Linked DNA regions of Caenorhabditis elegans. The protein of the gene in region 3 purifies or fractionates together with the protein of the main gene of each other region. This does not show direct contact. Each region holds a gene or a part of one and is shown on either strand. Other genes may lie near its edges.

Evidence for each region. The genes of interacting proteins can lie anywhere in the genome.
Region 1: the proteins of sur-6 (region 3) and spd-5 purify together in Caenorhabditis elegans (affinity purification with western blotting, with the first as the bait; one study listed by BioGRID). This does not show direct contact.
Region 2: the proteins of sur-6 (region 3) and let-92 purify together in Caenorhabditis elegans (affinity purification with western blotting; 3 studies listed by BioGRID, with this or other methods). This does not show direct contact.

Annotation. Positions count from the first base shown.
Region 1 is NC_003279.8:5,170,751-5,178,341, forward strand, and holds spd-5 (Spindle-defective protein 5), read right to left. Parts: upstream 5,905-7,591; 5' UTR 5,848-5,904; intron 4,787-5,847; 5' UTR 4,772-4,786; coding exon 4,720-4,771; intron 4,669-4,719; coding exon 4,481-4,668; intron 4,434-4,480; coding exon 3,336-4,433; intron 3,289-3,335; coding exon 3,207-3,288; intron 3,162-3,206; coding exon 2,764-3,161; intron 2,716-2,763; coding exon 2,502-2,715; intron 2,459-2,501; coding exon 1,573-2,458; intron 1,524-1,572; coding exon 1,273-1,523; intron 1,223-1,272; coding exon 891-1,222; intron 840-890; coding exon 744-839; 3' UTR 552-743; downstream 1-551. Other genes in the region: Condensin-2 complex subunit hcp-6, read left to right, coding at 11-354, 399-551; npp-6 (NUP160 middle TPR domain-containing protein), read left to right, coding at 6,086-6,167, 6,222-6,526, 6,575-6,700, 6,751-7,394, 7,453-7,591. UniProt on the Caenorhabditis elegans protein: Plays a central role in centrosome maturation and mitotic spindle assembly during the first division of the zygote. Required for the centrosomal localization of air-1 and zyg-9. Probably not required in late embryogenesis and during larval development.
Region 2 is NC_003282.8:11,856,631-11,860,994, reverse strand, and holds let-92 (Serine/threonine-protein phosphatase 2A catalytic subunit), read right to left. Parts: upstream 2,554-4,364; 5' UTR 2,550-2,553; coding exon 2,421-2,549; intron 2,375-2,420; coding exon 2,165-2,374; intron 2,111-2,164; coding exon 2,048-2,110; intron 2,003-2,047; coding exon 1,814-2,002; intron 1,710-1,813; coding exon 1,536-1,709; intron 1,483-1,535; coding exon 1,291-1,482; 3' UTR 535-1,290; downstream 1-534. Other genes in the region: mob-1 (Mob1/phocein), read right to left, coding at 314-437.
Region 3 is NC_003279.8:9,752,247-9,758,422, forward strand, and holds sur-6 (Serine/threonine-protein phosphatase 2A regulatory subunit sur-6), read left to right. Parts: upstream 1-1,875; 5' UTR 1,876-1,991; coding exon 1,992-2,187; intron 2,188-2,525; coding exon 2,526-2,623; intron 2,624-2,677; coding exon 2,678-2,934; intron 2,935-2,983; coding exon 2,984-3,119; intron 3,120-3,366; coding exon 3,367-3,436; intron 3,437-3,487; coding exon 3,488-3,652; intron 3,653-3,700; coding exon 3,701-3,825; intron 3,826-3,874; coding exon 3,875-4,011; intron 4,012-4,057; coding exon 4,058-4,232; intron 4,233-4,601; coding exon 4,602-4,730; 3' UTR 4,731-5,642; downstream 5,643-6,176. Other genes in the region: F26E4.2 (Tnp_DDE_dom domain-containing protein), read right to left, coding at 5,643-5,782. UniProt on the Caenorhabditis elegans protein: Probable regulatory subunit of serine/threonine phosphatase let-92.

The sequences.
Region 1 (7,591 bases), 4.6 Mb from region 3:
TTTCTTGAAGAATCCCCGGAAAAGGAAGTCAATATTTCGGCCAACGTCACTTTGCGTCGTAGTCGTCGGGGTCAGTCAACAGAGCCACCAGTCGTGAAAGAGAATTCTAATCGAAAACGGAAATCTGTTGACGAGGAAGAGGAAAATGTGCCAACAAGTTCATCTGGTAACACTGAAAATGATCCACTGTCACGCGGAGTGACTCCGTTGATTTTCGATGAAAGTAAGCTTGGTGCAGGACGTCATTGTTCAACTCCGATTCGATCACGAGAAGACGCAGATCCAAGCGATGTCACATTCTCCCTTAATTTGTCGGCTATTACCGAAAAGGAAGACTTGAAAAACAGAAGTAAGGTATTCACAATTTCTTGAATTTACAAAACGCCTTAATTTTACAGAAAGTCAAGCTTATCACCTTCACAATATCTTCGAAGAGGATGAAGAGGAAAGCTGATCAATGTCATTGTATAAATCTTCCATCGAAATTTGTCTTATTTATCTCAACTGTTTGTATTATTGTAAGATTGTCCGCTGTTTTTTCATTAAATTAATCTGTTCCTTTTATTATCTGTAATGGGATTGCAGTCAACTACCAGAAAAGAAGCATTTAATTCACAAGTACATTGATAGATGCATTAGGTGTATCTTTAGGCTGGGAAAACAATACAATCGTTACAAGTTAATCTTGTCGAGATGATAGTGTTGATAAAACTGGTTCCATTTTAATACATTAACAGATCAGTTCACTTTTTGCGAATTTCCTTCACAGCTCCTCCCATATCAGTTGCGATTTTGCCAATTTCCGTTTTGATTCTGTCTTGAAATTCGACACCAAGTGTCTGAAAATGATATTTTTCAAAATAGATTTCAATAGAAAAAGAATTTCATACCGGGATGGCGGATTTTGTCAGTTTCAGTTCCTTTTTGTACTTCTTGATTTGCTCCTCAAGCATCAAGTTATCCTGATGCAATTGTCCGAGATCTGTGATCAGTTGATCGACGGTCTCGTTCTTCCAATTGGACATATCGATTCCTTTGAATAGAATGAGCTTCTGATGGAGGAAATCGCGAAGAACTCTGGATTCATTGATGACGTTGCCAATCGTCTCCTTAAGCTCTGGACCCATTCCTGACATATTGTGAGTCTTCTTGAGTTTCTGAACAATTGCGTCGACAGCCATAGTTGATTCGTGGAGCAATTGTCGAGTAGGGCTCGTGTAATCTGGAGAATTGGTGAAAATTCAACTTCTGATGTGCATAAGTATGACTTACGAGGTTGAGCACACTTTTGATTCGATGTTTTAGTAGGCATGCCACTGACCGATGTTCCAACTGGTGGGACATTCTCGTTATTAGAGCTCATCATTTTCAGCTCATGTTCGAGAGCATCTTTCTCTAATTGAAGCTTTTCAATTTTTTCATTGACGTCTCTCATAACTTTCGCGTATTCATGCTGTTGCTCTCGTTCCCTGGAAAGACGACGACAGAGTTCATCGCAAACGAGTTGAATCGATGAGATGTTGCTGAAAATGTTCTCAAATAAAAAAAAACAAGCACGACGTTTGATAATACCTTGGGATAATCTTGGCTTTCAAAGTCTTCTTGGTTAGCTCAGATATCTCCTTACTGATACGTTCCAATCCTACAATAGCGGCATTCTCAAAATCTTCGCGATACTTCGCCAACTCAATTTCCTTCTTTCTTTCTGTCATCTTCGTAGAACAATAGTCGGCCGCAATTTCTGAAGTCGACAACTTCTCCATCTCAGTCTCCAAATGAACAATTCTTTCAAGCATTTCAGATTTCTCGGATGAAGCATGTTCAACTTTATTTTCCGCCTCTTTTGTTCTCATTCTCCACCCATTCAATTCTTCACTCAACTCATCTGCTAGATTTTGGGATTTTTTTTCTTCCTCCAGCGCGGTAGATAACTCGCTTTTCAAGAATTCATCGCTCTTCTTTGCTTCATTCAATCGCATCCCCATATCAGTAATGGTTTTCTTGAGCTCATTTTCCTCATGTTTTAGAGAACTGATGAGCTGACGAGCCTCTTCCAATGCATTTTCAGCTTTGACACGAGTCTCCTGTTCACCATCCACACGAGCCAACGCTTCATTGAGCTCGCATCGCACTTCTCCAAGCTTAGAATTAACTTGATGGAGATTGGCTTCGAGTTCAGCAAATTGACTTTTCAATGTAGAATTTTCCTCTTTAGCCTTTTGTAGCGTTGCTTCAGATACTTCGAGATCTTCAAACATGCGATTGGTGTTGATCTGCACATCCGACAATCTTCCAGACGAACCGTTCAATGGAGATCTCATATCTCGTGTACGAGCCATCTCCAATTCATTTTTCAACTCCGATACCTCATTCTGAAGCTTTTCCACTATGTCTGAATTGCTTGTAAACTTGAAGAGTGGACTATACGAGGCATTGAGAAGAGAAGATGAGGCGACATCTGGAAAATATTGATTTATGAGCGTCTCTAAAATTTATATTACCTTCAGCATCGGGTGCAATAGTGAATCTTCTCGAAGCTTCCGCAGCCTGACTAACTATCGACTTCTCGAGAATTGAGAAATTGAGTGACATATTATGAAGATCCTTCTCCGCTGCTTCCAAGATGGCAGATACATTGAGCTTGTCGTTAATACTTGTTTCAAATGCGAGCTTCATTTTCTTGATCTTATCCGCATTTGGATCACTGGATCCCATCTACAAAAAACTCAGATTTACAGATTCACAACTTGACAGTTTTCATACCCTTTCAAGAATCTCTTCAAAAAGAGCAGCAGAAGATTTAAGTCTTTCGAAAAGTCGAGCAAGAGCCTCTCTGATCTGGGACATTTTCTCTTGCATTTGCTCAACATTTACAGCTACATCATGCTGGCCTTCAAGGAACATTGCAGAAGAATCCAGAATTTGTTGCATATCGTGCAGAATTGGAATGTGACTTTGTGACACGTGAGGAGAAGCAGTCTTCGTAGAAAACGAATTATTCTGTATTTGTTCGCCAGCTCCCTCGGATTGATGGCTCTTCAGGTGAAGATGAAGTGATTTTGGTTTCTGCATTACAATCGGAGAATTCTTGAAAGACTTCTGACTGAGGAACGATTGAGTTGCATCTCTACCAGGTGGTGGCATTGACGAATTGAAGGAACCTAACAATAATCAATTTCAAAAAATCTAGGAATCAATTTTACTACCTTCAAGGGTGTCATTATGGTTGTTCTGCAGGCTGTCTTTCACTGACTCGAAATCTTCCCACATGGAGGCAAATTGTTGCTGCTAAATATTCAAGACTTTATTTTAAATAATAATTTTCATACACTTACATTTCGAACAGCAGATGATGTATCCATGAGCGGCAATTTGCTTTCTTCAAGATCATCTAATTGACTTTCTCTGGGAAGAATGCGCATCGATGTTCCGCCAGTCTCATTTCCTTGTCCAATGCTATCGACATCATTAGTCGCAATACCAGCCATCAGTCGACTTTGTCCCAGTGAAATGCTAAGATTTCCATCGCCTCCGGTCAATTGATCACAACGAATGCGGAGTTCTCGATTTTCAGCTCTCAACACATTCAATTCACCGTTCACCTTTCCTATTTGGATTTTAAGCTCGTCGGATGTCTGACCACCAAGCAACATGGAAGAAGAATCAAATGTCGAATTTTTAACCATGGTTCGAATCTCGTGCTCAAGCTTGCTACACTTGTTCATGTATTCAACGAGTGCCTGACGAGCCTTATCATTTTCCTTCTTCGCATCAGCTAACTTCGTTTCAAGATCATCAATGTAATTGAGCTGGTCTCGCGTCTGTGATTCACGACCGTTCCCGATCATGAACGTTGAATTTGGAACCATAGCGTTTCCAGCAGCTCCGAGGATTCCTTGTCCAGTGGCCGCTTCAAGCTGAGCGCGAACATTTTCTGAATCGGCAAGCCTTGCAGATTGGTCGTCAAGTTCTTGACGGAGCTGCTGAATGTGATCTTCCAGCTCAGCTACCTTGTCGATCTCAGAGAGGAGCTTTGCCTCCAGGTCGTTGATCTTTCTTTCTTCATAACCAGAGGTTAATGTGAAATCTGGATCGTTTTTCTTCAGAATGTCATCAAGAGTTCCACGAAAAGATCCGACAGTTGTGTTGTTTGCATCAGTAGCGGACAATTCCAGTTCCTTGATTCTTTCCTCCATTGCATGCTTTTGTGCCTCAAATTCTTTCATCTGTCTGGCAAAATTGTCTTCGGAAGTTTCAATTCTCGATTGCATTGCTAGCAAATCCTCTTCCATCAGTTTGTATTGCTCCATTTTCTCTTGAACATTTTCTTGGCCTAATTTGAGATCGACATAATCGTCCATAACTTCCTTAACTCTCTTCTGCGACGCTTCCTTTGCCTCACTATACCGGCGCTGATACATTTGCAGTTCTCCCTACAAACTCAAATCATTTCTAAATAAGCATATGATAAATTACTTACTCTCAGGATAGTTATTTTTGTTTTAAGCGCTTTGTTTTCTTCCCATGTTTGGATGATGGGGATGCTACGAACATCAGCAGACGAAAATGCTCCTGACAATACTTGCTGTTGAGTGGCACTGGTCGAAGACGTTCTTTTGTCTCCTTCAACATTCAGAACTGGTTGCGACATAGATCTTCGTGGCTGGCCTAAAAAACCTTTGCATTTATGCAGTTATTGATTTTAAATGTTATAATTACCCTCGACATGCTCGAGATTGGAGTCCTCGTTGAGCACAGAATTATCCTCCATTTAACGCGAAGTTTTCTGAAACAAGAAACGGGTTCGAAAACAAAATTGAGCGTTTTTTTGGGATTAAGAGTTTTGAGTCAAAATGAACAGGAGGTTGCAAAATTTGAAGCTTCAGCACCGTTCTTTGGGCGTGCATAATCATGAAAAACAAGTGCGGACCAACTTTTGTTACTATGGAAACGTAAGAATTTCGCGGACGCGGAGAAAATTCAAAATTCACGTTTAGGCGCGCGTTTTTCTGAGGCCCCACGAAAAGGGGAGCAGAACGAAAAGGGGATCTGCAAAAAGGGGAGATACGAAAAGGGGAGCAACGAAAAGGGGAGCTGGCACTGTGCCAAACGCACAAAACGCAATTTTTCTCACGCAACGCACGTTGATTTTTGAAATTTTCTTCTAGAAGATACGCTTAACAACACGCGACGCGTAACATCGGAGCCGATGCACCATGTTTCGGATCGGTATAGGTTCAAAAGTGGTAGAATTATATAATTTATTACTGATAAATCCGTTAAATGATAAAAATGAGAAAGCTCATATATTTAACATGCGACCTGCCGGTCCAAGAGTAAAACGAAGAAGTGACGATTTCCTTGCGTGGTGTCGACGTGTTGGGGTTTGATGTGCATGTGTGGTAGTACTGTAACACGCGTGACGTGTGTGTCTTTTGGCGCGGCTTTCAAACAGGAGTTTCCCGGCTTTGTCATTGTTGATGACTCAGTATTCTGCGTATTCGCGACAATCGTTGTATCGTTTTCTTCGAGAAAAATAGCGTTTGGCACAGTGCCAGATCCCCTTTTCGTTGCTCCCCTTTTCGTATCTCCCCTTTTCGTATCTCCCCTTTTCGCAGATCCCCTTTTTGCAGATCCCCTTTTCGTGGGGCCTCGTTTTTCTTGACAGAGAAAAAGTGTGCGCATGTTGCGAAATACCATGCGGCGGTATTGCTCATGCAGCCACGCCCCTTATTTTTGAATTCGAATGGAGCTCCATATGGAGGCGTTTTCGGCTCAATTCATCATTGTTTTGTAAAATTTTACATCGCAAAGTGTCAAAATATGAAGCTTATTGTAAAAACTCACAAATTTCTAACAAGTTTTTCTTTGAATCCAATGAGAACCTTCTCGATAAGTGATTAAAATTTAAAGTGAATTGTTTTCTTCCATTTTTTCACGTATAAAAAAACGTATAAAAAACAAGTAAAACAAGTTCACGCCAATGAAAAATTGTTTTTAACGATATTTAAATATTTTTGAACGTGTTTATTTCATCTCCATATTTCTCTTTTGCTTTAACATCGTGTTTTATGCTTAATTTCAGATGGAGCTGGTTTACGGGTCGGAAATCAGCTTCACGGATGGATTTGCTATAAAGCCGGCTAGAACTTTTGTGGTAAACACCAGTAAGTTTCAATTTCATTAAATAATTGTTTCTACAACAAATTTCACTTTTTTAGATGCGCCGCTTCATTCGAATGGATTTGATGTGCAACCGTCCGCAGGAGTTGCAACATTTCCGCACTGCTCAAATTACGGCGATCGGATTTTCCTGTGGCGTGCGATTGGCCAGAAACTGTTCATTGAGGAGCGTTCTTTGCTCTACTCAATCACGGATGGATCGTTGTGCATTGACTTCACACGCACACCTATTATTCCTGGAACATCGATAACAATTTTCGAGGAAGGGGTTTTATGTATTGTCGTTCCCACAGCTTCTGCAATTCATCGTTTCTACGCGAGACTCCACTCCAAAGGCCATGATGTTTGTTCTCAAAAATTTCCATAATCGAATGAGAATAATTATTTTCAGACGTTCTCAATTCTTGCAAGAATTAAAGAAGATGACGATTTCCGCCGATTCAGAACATCTCACTCCCTTTCAACACCAGGGCGCCCGATTCGTGCAAGTGTTACACATCATCCTTCAAGAAATACGGTATAAAAATGGAAATTGATTACAACCTATATTTCGAATTTTGAATTCAGATTTCTTACTGTACCGCTGAAGGGCAGTTGGTCATTGTCACATTGGGATCATACACGGAATCCAGTGATAAACACGAAGAATTCACAATGGGAGAAGTTGGTCTTCTGGGAAAACTTCTAGGTGGCACTGATAAACGAGTCAGTGATGCATGTGTTATGAAGAATCTTCGCCCGACTTCTGGAGTCACGAGAGAGCGAAAAATTTCAGTCCAATCCGATATTGTGTTCGCTGTTACCAGAGACGGATGGGTGCAAGCATGGAATGTTGAGACGAAAAAACAATTGCCAAGCACTATTGACTTGAATAACTACTTTGCTTCAGACGGAAAATCTTTGAATCGAGATCTAGAATCTGCAGACTTCGAGGAAGAAAAGTCTCCAATGGAACCAACTGAAACTGTATATTCTATCAGAGCTTATTCATTCGATGTGGATATTCTTCTGATTGTTGGATGTGATTTGGCAGTTTCGGGAAAAAGCGTCGGGATGAGAGTTCATATTCTCAAAGTTTCAAATGATCAAATTCAACATCTACAAATGTTCGAAACATCGATGTCCGTTGATGAACGACTTGTTGATCTCGAGCTTATTCAAAACTATTTCCCATCAAAGGAATCGGAAAGTCTTGATGAGACACAAGATGGGTAAGAATCGTTGTTATAAAATGGGTTTTTTTCTTGTCTAAATATAAAATTGTTTCAGGGAATTGTATAATCCTCTCACAGCTGCACTATTTTCACTTTCTGCTCTTTTCAAAAGTTCATCTGCAAAGAAAACCTATTCGATGAAACGGATCTCATTTGCTATCCAATGGAAAAAGGGACGAGTTTTCACAGATTTC
Region 2 (4,364 bases), on a different chromosome or scaffold from region 3:
TGGAATTTTTCAAAAATAAAATTAAAAAAGAAAACTTATAGAAACTGTATGTTTCCGCTTTTTTAAAGGGAGAACCAAAATTGAGAAATAGTCTCGCCGCGCGTCAGTGTTTATTTGTTTTCGTGTACGCGCCTTTAAGATTACTGTAGGAAATTTATCCAATTTTTTGTATTTTTTGAGAAAATTGGATCAACTCGAAAAAAATCACAATTAGCAGTTTTTGTTTTATTATAAATTATTTTTTGTTTTATTACAAATTATTATTACCAAGCTGTGCAAAAAAATGTCAAAGTTTTTTTTAGCAAAAACTTACTATTTACGGCGAGCCATTCATTTTTATCTTCCCCTGGTGGAAGTTTCAGAGCGTCACGAAGATTTCCACTTCCTAACGTTGAAACTGCCATTGGATTGCACCATGATGAACTTGGTTCACTCATTTTCTGGAACCAAAATAATTCGATTTAAAGTTTTTTCTTTCACCAAGACAAGTATTGTTTTATGCTTTCTACATTGCAATCGAAAATTCAAAACTTTGATGTGGACACAGTTTATTGATCATTGATGATAAACAAAATGTTGATGGGGCAAAAATAATATTATAATTAAACAAAATGGGGGAATAAAATAGTGGAAAAGGGAGAGATGTTGTCCATTCGCATTTTGTGATAATAATCATAAGAAACAAGGAAGACGGGAAGTGGTGAAAAGGATGGGATGGAGGGGAAAATAGTGTAAGAATATGGAAGGAAAAGAAAAAGAGTAAAGAAATGTTGGAAGCGAACGCCGTACAGCGCGTGCGCGGAGAAGATCGCAACTTTTCTCACACGGGGATGACTGAAAAGAATATTGATTGCTTCATTGAGTGAAGGAAGAGAACCGAGTGCTAAGGTTGACACGAGATGTCGGAGATATTTTTTCAGTAATGGCTAATGATTCCGCCAAACTCTTCCCACCACATTAATTTACATGAACAATGAAATTTTCATCCCTATCATCGCATCATTTGAGAAGAGAAGCACGGTTTGATCGCCTAAATTTTGGTAGAGGACAAGAGAATGGAACAAAAAAGATAGATGAAGAACACAACAATCATTTCGAGCAACTTCAGAAGAGATGGGATTGTCAAATAGGATGGTGTTGGGCAACGATACAAAAACAACGATATTCTATATAATGACTGAAACGATGAAAAAGAGGAAAAGTGAGAGAAAGTATTGAAATTAATTGGGTAAGGGGGATAATACGGAAAAAAAAGAAAATGAAAACGGCGATTTGAACGGAGGTATCTATCTACAGGAAGTAGTCAGGCGTTCTGCGAGTAACATGTGGTTCTCCTCTTCGAGGGGCAGGGTCGAATTGCAAGAACGAATATTTGAGATCGTCGTCCAGCTCCACCATCGCTGCCTGATTTCCACAACGATAGCAGTAGTTTGGTGCTGAGAACACTGTTACCACGTTACGATCGTGACTCCAGTTGTATCCCTAAACATATTTATATCATTGCAAAATTATATCGATTTGAAATAATTTCTCACCTCCATGACAAGTTGATGGGCCCGAGAAATTAGAGTAAGTCCATTGGAATGGTTGAACGTCTCCGAGATATCCTGACCGAATGTGTATCCTGCTCCACGTGGAGAGATTCCCCAGCCACCTCTGTCATCTGGATCAGACCAGAGAAGATCGCACATTGGTCCTTCGTGTGGAACCTTTAAAAATATATGATTTTCGGTGATGAAAATGTTAGAACTTTTCTATTATTGAAATATTTCAGGCTAGTAACTATTAAAGGTAGATTTCCACAATAACTTACCTCTTGAATGCGGTCAAGAGCTCTGATGTGATCAAGAGTATCAATAGACGGTGAAAGACCTCCGTGAAGGCAGAAGATTTGACCATCAACAAGAGCGGTAAGTGGGAAACAGTCGAAGAGATCAGTGAAGTACTTCCACACATTCGAGTTTCCATATTTCCTCAAACACTCGTCATAGAACCCGTAGACCTAACAAGAAAATAATAATTTTTGAAATAAATTGATTTTAATTACCTGAGTGATTTGTCGCGACTCGTGATTTCCGCGGAGCAGTGTTACTCGATCCTTGTATCGAATCTGAATTTTTAAAGATGTTATAATAATTTCCATACTATATTGTGATAACTGTACCTTCAAACAGACAAGCAGACTAACTGTTTCGACGGAATAATACCCCCGGTCGACGTAGTCTCCCATGAAAAGGTAATTCGTGTCAGGACTCTTTCCACCCATTTTGAACAGCTCCATCAGATCGTGGAATTGACCGTGAACGTCACCACACACTGTCACAGGGCACCGGACTTCTTGCACATTCGGCTCTTTTTCCAAGATCTCTTTCGCCTTAAAAAAATTAATTTTTGACAATCACAAAACTGTATCAACAAACCTTTTCGCATAACGTTTTGACTTGATTCTCCGATAGTGGTTTACATTCGTATAACTGCTCAATCCACTGATCTACATCGACGATTAGTGCTTTATCAAGCGGATCCGCAGATGGTGGGGCAGCAGCCATACTACTGAAAACTTATTTGTTGGTCAAGAAATTAGAAGTATAAAAAAGTTTGAATGATAAGAACGCATAGAGAAAGAAGAAAGACAACGTGGGCAGCTATAGCAACGGAGCACGAGTCGGAGAAAGCGTGAAGAGCAGAAACTCACGCTGTTGCCTCACAGTCAATACTTTTCAGCGGATTCTTCTTTCCGTATAAACTGATAGGATTGCAAGACAAAAGGGATTAAGTGCCCCTTGCTCCAACAGCATCTTATAACGAAAAAGAAAACGTCACAATTGGAGGAGAGACAGTTAATGAAATGATGTAAAGCACAAGTTTTAAAAAAGACGGAAAATCAATCGTGAACAGGTTAAGAAAAGAAAACAAGAACATAGAAATAAAATGTGTAGTTTTTATGGATTATTTTTCAATGTTACTAAATGCCAGACCGGATTAGTTACTAGTGTCAAAAAGTGTCCATTCTCAATTTTAGACGAAGAAGTGAAAGATGAACAACAATCACGCGCTGAAAAATATTCATAGGAAAAAGAGGAAATCGATAACTCGCTGTTTGCGTTTCTACCTCCCACCAAACCATACGGAATTTCATTCCGTTCCGATAAGGCAAAGAACAAATGTTGTTAATTATGTTTCACAATAGGGGTCAATCTATGTTCTAACGAGAATTAAAATATTTTAATTGTTAGGCAAACGTTGATACGGTAAAAAACCTAATTATGTAACTGAAACTCTTCAAATGAAAAAAAAAATCATAAAACTGTGTTTTTTTTGCCTTATTTTCGGTGAATCATAATCAATATTCAATGGGCAAAAGCCAATTGTAATGGGAACACGTGAGAACGGAATAAATGAATTTAACATTAGTGGAAGACATCAAAATGATAGAGAACGCGGGATGATCGAGTACGACAAAATTGTTGTTTTGTGAGGAGAGCGAGGCGGAGAAAGCAGGGCTGCAGAGAGATGCGGGGCCCGCCAATTGGGCAGTGACGGAGGATCAGACGACAGATAGCGAAGGAGCAGCGGCACTCCTGTGCTATAACCAGCCGAGGAACCAATCGCATTGCGAAAGTGACGGAGAAAGAGATGAAAAAGAAAAGATATAAGGCAGAGGAAAGAGCGACCGCATCGCAAGGGCTCGCGTCGCGGTTCACTGCGCTCTACTGAACACCCTCACTGTCTGTTGTTAACAAGACGGAGAGAAGTGAAGAAGTCCTCTTCCTGAACCGATGTTTTCGTTTATTGGCGTTATCGCTGAAGGCGACAACGACGACAGCAGAGGCGTTGTGTGCAGAAAGGAGGTGTGAAAAGGCGAGGATTTAGAGCTCTGGTGACGTGCTAGGGACGGCCAAGTTATGATAGAGGGGCGTACTGAAAAAAATGTTCGAGGTAGAATATTTCTAGAAAAATACATTTCATAACCCAGCAGAATCATGATGACTCATTTATGCGAAATTTCAGAAAAAACGGTATGTTTTAGAAGATGAAACTATCGATTGGCAACTAACGAAGGTTAATGATGTCCGATTTTTTAAATTATTATGTAACAAAATCATTGTTGAAAAAGACCGAAAACTTCAGACAGAAAAAAAAACTGGTGAGCTAATTATAATTCAAATTAAAAGTAGGAATACGATCTAGCGGAATGACAATAGTTTGTTACTAACGGCTCCAGTAACTGAATCTAGTAAACAATATGATTGAAACCGGAGATTTTCAGCATCAGGTGTTAAAGAATGACATCAAAAACATGCTAGATGATGAATTCAAGAAGGCACTTACATTTTGACGAAACTTTTTGTACATTTTTGAGC
Region 3 (6,176 bases):
CTAATTGACCCTACTTTCACTGAACTAAGTTTTCTTTTACGAAACGGTCAAAATGTGCTTCCAAATAATGATAGTAACATTTTTCAAATAAAAAAAGAAAGAGTTGACTGTCCATCAATGCTATTAGCTTCGCACACAGTTTCTTTGTGTTCCATCGTCGAGCTGTCTGCGTAACTCGTTTAGGTGCACTGTCTCGTGTTTCATACTCTGCGTCATTCCGTTTTCGCCATTCGGTTCGTCGCCGGCGCCATAGCCAATCGATTATTTGGTTCTTCAAGGCAGTAGTCGCCCATCTCTTCATGTCTCCTCGCGCTCCCTTCGGAAGAACACTGATATCTCTTCTCGCTCCTTCTCGACGTCTTCTTTTCCTCCCCCACCATGTCTTCTGCTTCTCCACCGGCTGATGCTGTCGTCGCCTCATGCTGCACACGTCGTTGACACTCACAGGCCCGCACACACATGGAGGGAGTGCTCCATCTCTCGTTTTTGCCGCTTAGAAAATGGATGTATATTGTTTTTTAATCCATCATGATTCCTTCCGTCTCCGTTTTTCACTTTTTATTACATTTTGCCAATTGGATTTCTGTTGATCACAACAATCTTATTCAGCATTTTCCTTATTATTATTTTGAAATAATCAAGCTTTTAACTTTTGAAATCATATTTGCTTTCTGATCAATAATTTTTTGTTTCTATCGGAGGACAGCTGATAAGTAAGAGGTTCCTTCTCGTGTAGTCATGAGTAGTCATTGATTATTTCCGTCTTGTTGTTGCCCTCTGGCCAGCTGCGTGAAGTTCTTCTCTGCGTGATCGCATACTGTTTCAGTCATTTTCCTATGACTCATCTGATAATTATTGATCGATCGATTGGTTATCTACCATTTTGAAAAAAAAGTTGAAGTTATAATCTGATTTTGCGCCTCACTCTGCTCATTATTATTCGGCACACACGCACACATACACACTCATTTTTGTTTCCTTTTCTGTCTCTTTCTCTCTACGGTCTGTCTATTGCTCCGTTTTTGGTTAACTGGAATTCACACAGGTGAGGGAGCGGATTAGGAAGAAACTTGAATAGAAAAAAGAATTCAGTGAAAATGAGATGATTAGAGAACTACCTCGAGCCATGTATCTCTGCTTTCGTGCTTTATGAGCATTCAGTGTTGATAGTAATAACATAATGAGATGACTGAAGAGACGCAGATGTTGTGAAGAAGCTCGAATTAATCTCGCGCGTTTGCTCTGCGCCGATGGATTAAGAGTCCCTTGGTTGGCAGACGAGATCTCGGTAAGCATCATCTGCTTGTTTTCTCCAACCAAATCTTCGTGCTTTTGACCAACAATTTTTTTTTGACTAAAATGCGGCGATCAGAGAGATATTACTTATAAATTGATCTACGTAAATTAAGCATCCATTATCAACATTTTTGTGTTATTTCATTTTCTAATTTTGTTGCACTGAAATGCACTCAAAACCGGTCCCTTCCGTTTACAAATTGCAAATGCGCCCTTTCGCACCCTAGTTTTTTTGCCCGCGTTTCGTCATGTAAATTGCGATAGCATTGCGGCACCGCTGTGATTCTCGGTCATTTTTGTGATCGAATCAAACATACAAACTTTTAAACAACGTTCTTTGTCTCTAATTCTCTGACCTGAGTGTTCCATTCCTTTTGACTCTTTGAAAAAACTTTGCAGCTATTTCTCTTTCAAACAATTGTCTTAATTTCCTGTTTTACCATGTTGTGCTTTTTCTTCATCACTCGACAGATTTGTTGCCTAGCAACCTGCGGCATGAGGATTTATGCTTCTTTTTTTCCCGATGTCAATCTCTGAATTCCTAATCCAATTTTGTATATAATAATTTCCATTTTTCAGACGCATTAAAAATAGTCGTCATTCCCGTGTCTCAAACACTTTAATCTTCGTCACATCCAGTGATTAGGAAGGGAAGAGAACCAAAGAAACAACGAAAAAGAGGAAAAATTTGAATAATGGTGATGGAAGTGGACGAACCTGCAGTTGCGGCGACTACATCGCAAAATCAACCGCAGGAGCATGCGAATGACTTTGATATGGATACCTCCGAGGGACCAATTGAGAACGATGAAACATTTGAACCGGTAGATCAAATAAATTGGAAATTCAACCAGGTGAAAGGAAATATAGATGCCGATGTGCACACGGAAGGTAAAAAATTGTTACTTGAAATTTCCCTACGTTTTTGATACTATTTCTTAAAGACGCACGATTTATTCAGAAAAAAGTTGGTGGTTTAATTGCCTTGTTTTTTTTTAAAATTAAAATACTACTTAGTTCATTTTTTGCGAAATTTGTCATATTCTTTTCATTTTTCTGTGAAAATTGTTTTAAATCAGTTTTTAAAGTAAAACATTCGAAAAAAATTACCATAAACATTATTGCGCGCCGAGACCCATCTGAATTAATGCGTGCGACTTTAAGATGATATGTCAAAAATTAGTAAAAATTATGATGCCTAGAATACTGAAAAATCGAATAATTTTCAGCCGATGTGATCTCTTGTGTGGAATTTTCACACGATGGTGAATATTTGGCAACGGGAGACAAAGGAGGACGTGTTGTAATTTTCCAACGAGATCAGAGTGTAGGTTTTAGTTTTTAGAAAGACGAGAACTGTTTTAAATATTTAATTTTTCAGGGAAAGTATGTGAAAGGCGTTCGATCGAGGGAATATAATGTTTACTCGACATTTCAATCTCATGAACCTGAATTTGATTATTTGAAATCACTAGAAATTGACGAGAAAATTAATCAAATTCGGTGGCTTAAAAAGAAGAATGCAGCCAATTTCATTCTCTCGACCAACGACAAAACAATCAAGCTGTGGAAAATTAGTGAAAGAGAGCGTAAAATTGGAGACGATGCATGGAATCTGCCTAGAACAAACAGAATCAAGTATAACATTAATGATTAAATATTTTAAATATATAAATATAATTTTCAGCACTTCCTCCTTCCGAGGTCGCTTACAAATACCCTCGATCGTGCCAATGGAGTTGATAGTTGAAGCAAGTCCGAGACGAGTTTACGGAAATGCTCACACTTATCACGTCAACAGTATTTCAGTGAATTCTGATCAGGTATTTTAATAATTTTTTTTTGTGTTCAGCTTTTTTCAATCCAAAGTATACGATGAATCAAAATCTCAACAGTATAACCTTCTTCACATGTTCGGCGTATTTTTTTAACTATTCAATTTATTAGAAAAATAGTACCAGGTTGGCTGAATTCTTTTTTGTGAAAATTTAAAATGTTTGGTACTGCAAGGACCAAAATATCAATTATGTATAAGTGAACCGAAATTAAAAATTATATTCCGATTTTCAGGAAACATTCCTATCTGCCGACGATTTGCGAGTTAACCTTTGGAATCTGGAGATTACCAATGAGTCTTTCAGTGAGTTTTGAATACTTGTTTTCAAAAAATTTTAATATCGATTTCTTCCAGACATTGTCGACATCAAGCCTGCTAATATGGAAGAACTTACGGAAGTTATTACTGCCGCCGAATTCCATCCAACGCAGTGTAATTGGTTTGTATACTCTTCATCAAAAGGATCTATTCGATTGTGTGATATGAGAGATCGTGCTCTATGTGATGCGTATGCTAAAAGTGCGTTTGGTTCTGTGTATTGATTATATAAATAATATTAATTTGCAGTTTTCGAGGAACCAGAAGACCCTCAATCTCGATCTTTCTTCTCGGAGATTATTGCATCTGTTAGTGACGTCAAATTCTCACATAATGGAAGGTACTTGCTTACGAGGGACTATCTTACTGTCAAGGTAATTATTAATAATTAAAAAGAAAATTTGAACAACTTTTATATTTCAGGTGTGGGATTTGAACATGGAATCACAACCGGTAGAGACATATCCAGTGCACAATTATTTACGAACAAAACTCTGTGCACTCTACGAAAATGATTCAATTTTCGATAAATTCGAGTGCGATTGGAGTGGAGATGACAAGTAATTAATTGCAGTACTTTTTCATATTATAATTTTCTTTTTGCAGACATATTCTCACGGGTTCGTATCATAATCTGTTCCGTTCATATGCTCGTGGCAATAACCAAGATGCGAAAACTTGGGAAGCTCGGCCTCAAGAACCACATTCACAGCTCCGATCTCGATTTGTTGTACCATCAGCGAAACGGAAGAGAAACAATCTGTCATCAAGCGGTGAAACGGTAAGATTTCAATTAAATTTAAAAAAACGTCTTCATGTTTAAATGGGTCTCTGCGCGCAAAAAAAGTTTATGGTAGTTTTTATTTTTATTTTATGCGACTGCTTCTCGTTTATTTTTTATTTTTCAATATAATTACTTCGTATTTAGCGACATTTTTTCGCTAAAAATACACTTTAAACGACGTAATTTTATTGAAAATGTAAAATAAACGAGGAATCAGCCGCATAAAATAAAAGCACAACCGTAAATTTTCTTGATCGCCAAGACTCATCTGAATACATCCGTGCACCTTTAAGAATGCATGTTAAACTCTCGTGAAAATATGATAAACATATCTTACTTCAAAATCAACAAAAACCCAATTTACAGACCGAAGAGGATCTTTCATCTGATCAACTTCAATTTGATCGTAAAATATTGCACACAGCATGGCATCCAAAGGATAACATCATTGCTCTTGCTGCCACTAACAATCTCTACATCTTCTCAGATGTTTAAATTATTGTTTTCGTAAACTTGTTGGATTTCGTCCTCCCCCAATCATCATTTTCCCTTTTTCTCAATTTATCCTCAAATATCACATTCATATAACTCTAAATTTTTTTTTCATATTTTCCCCATATTTTTGTGAGTCAATTCTTTCTCAAATCCCGTCCCTTCTTTCCCGTTTTCGTAGTCCTCATGTCGACTTATAGACATTTAATCGCGTATTCAATGTTACTCGCTTTCTTTCTTTCAAATCCTTCGTCATCGTAAATTTTTGAAGTAAAACAGGAATAAGCTCTTAGTTGGTTTCTATTTTTCAACTGTTAAAGTTGTCTTTTGCTTCCAATTTGAGATAGAGTTGTACTTTATTATTCTTATAGCTTCTTTTTCTTTACTCTCTCCCTCTCTCTATCCTCTCATATCATTCTTGAATTACGTGGCCCGTTTTCTATACTTTTCCCTCACTCTTCAACTCCAGTGTTCTCTTTCTTGTCTCTTCCACCACCACTTTTAAAAAGATAACTGTAGATCCTTAACCCCGAATCATTCGGGTCGTGTCTCTCCCACTTTTAGGATGATTTCTCCTGTTAGATTCACAATGTGTTTCACGACTTAATCCTCTTGTTTGAAAGCGTGTGAAGGTATTATTCTCACCTTGTTAGCTCCATTCTGTAATTTTGAAAACTATAAAAATCGCCCAAAAAATTTTTGAAATTTTTCCGACTTTAGTTATTTTCTCTCCACTTTCTCTGTTCGTTTGTCTGTCACAAAATTACAAACTTTCAAATCAAGAATCTTGACATAAATTTTTGTATTACTTCCCTCATATTTCTTCATCATTAAATCCCCGTGGGTGTGTCTCATCATTAAGTCTTCCTTTTCCCATAAAATTGTAAGCAATATTTATTTTCCAATCATAAAAACTCATTTATTGAATGGAAATAGTCGACAAATGTACAAAAACAATAATAATAGTATCACATTTGTGGCGATGAGGATTTCAGTTCCATGGCGACGATATGTTTGACGTACTAGTACTTGTGCATCATATGTGACTTTGGAGACTGAAATAAATTAGAAAAATATATTATTGGTGTCTCGACACGACAAATTTATAAATGCGAAAATGTGCGCGCCTTTAAAGATTACTGTAATTTCAAACTATTGCTGCTGCTGAATTTTCACCGAATTGCATAGTTAGAAAAATGGAATATAACAATAAAAGCATAATTTTGAACAAATAATTAGAAAAAATTTAAAAAAAAACTCGATGAAAATTCCGAAGCAATCATAGTTTGAAATTACAGTACTCTTTAAAGGCGCACAACATTTCGCATTTAACTAAAATTTGTCGTGTCGAGGCCGCGTACCGTATTTTTGACGCGGATGTATAAGAGAATAATTAATTGAAAAAAATCGATTATATTACGTTGGATTTTGTTTTGAAAAAAGTACAAA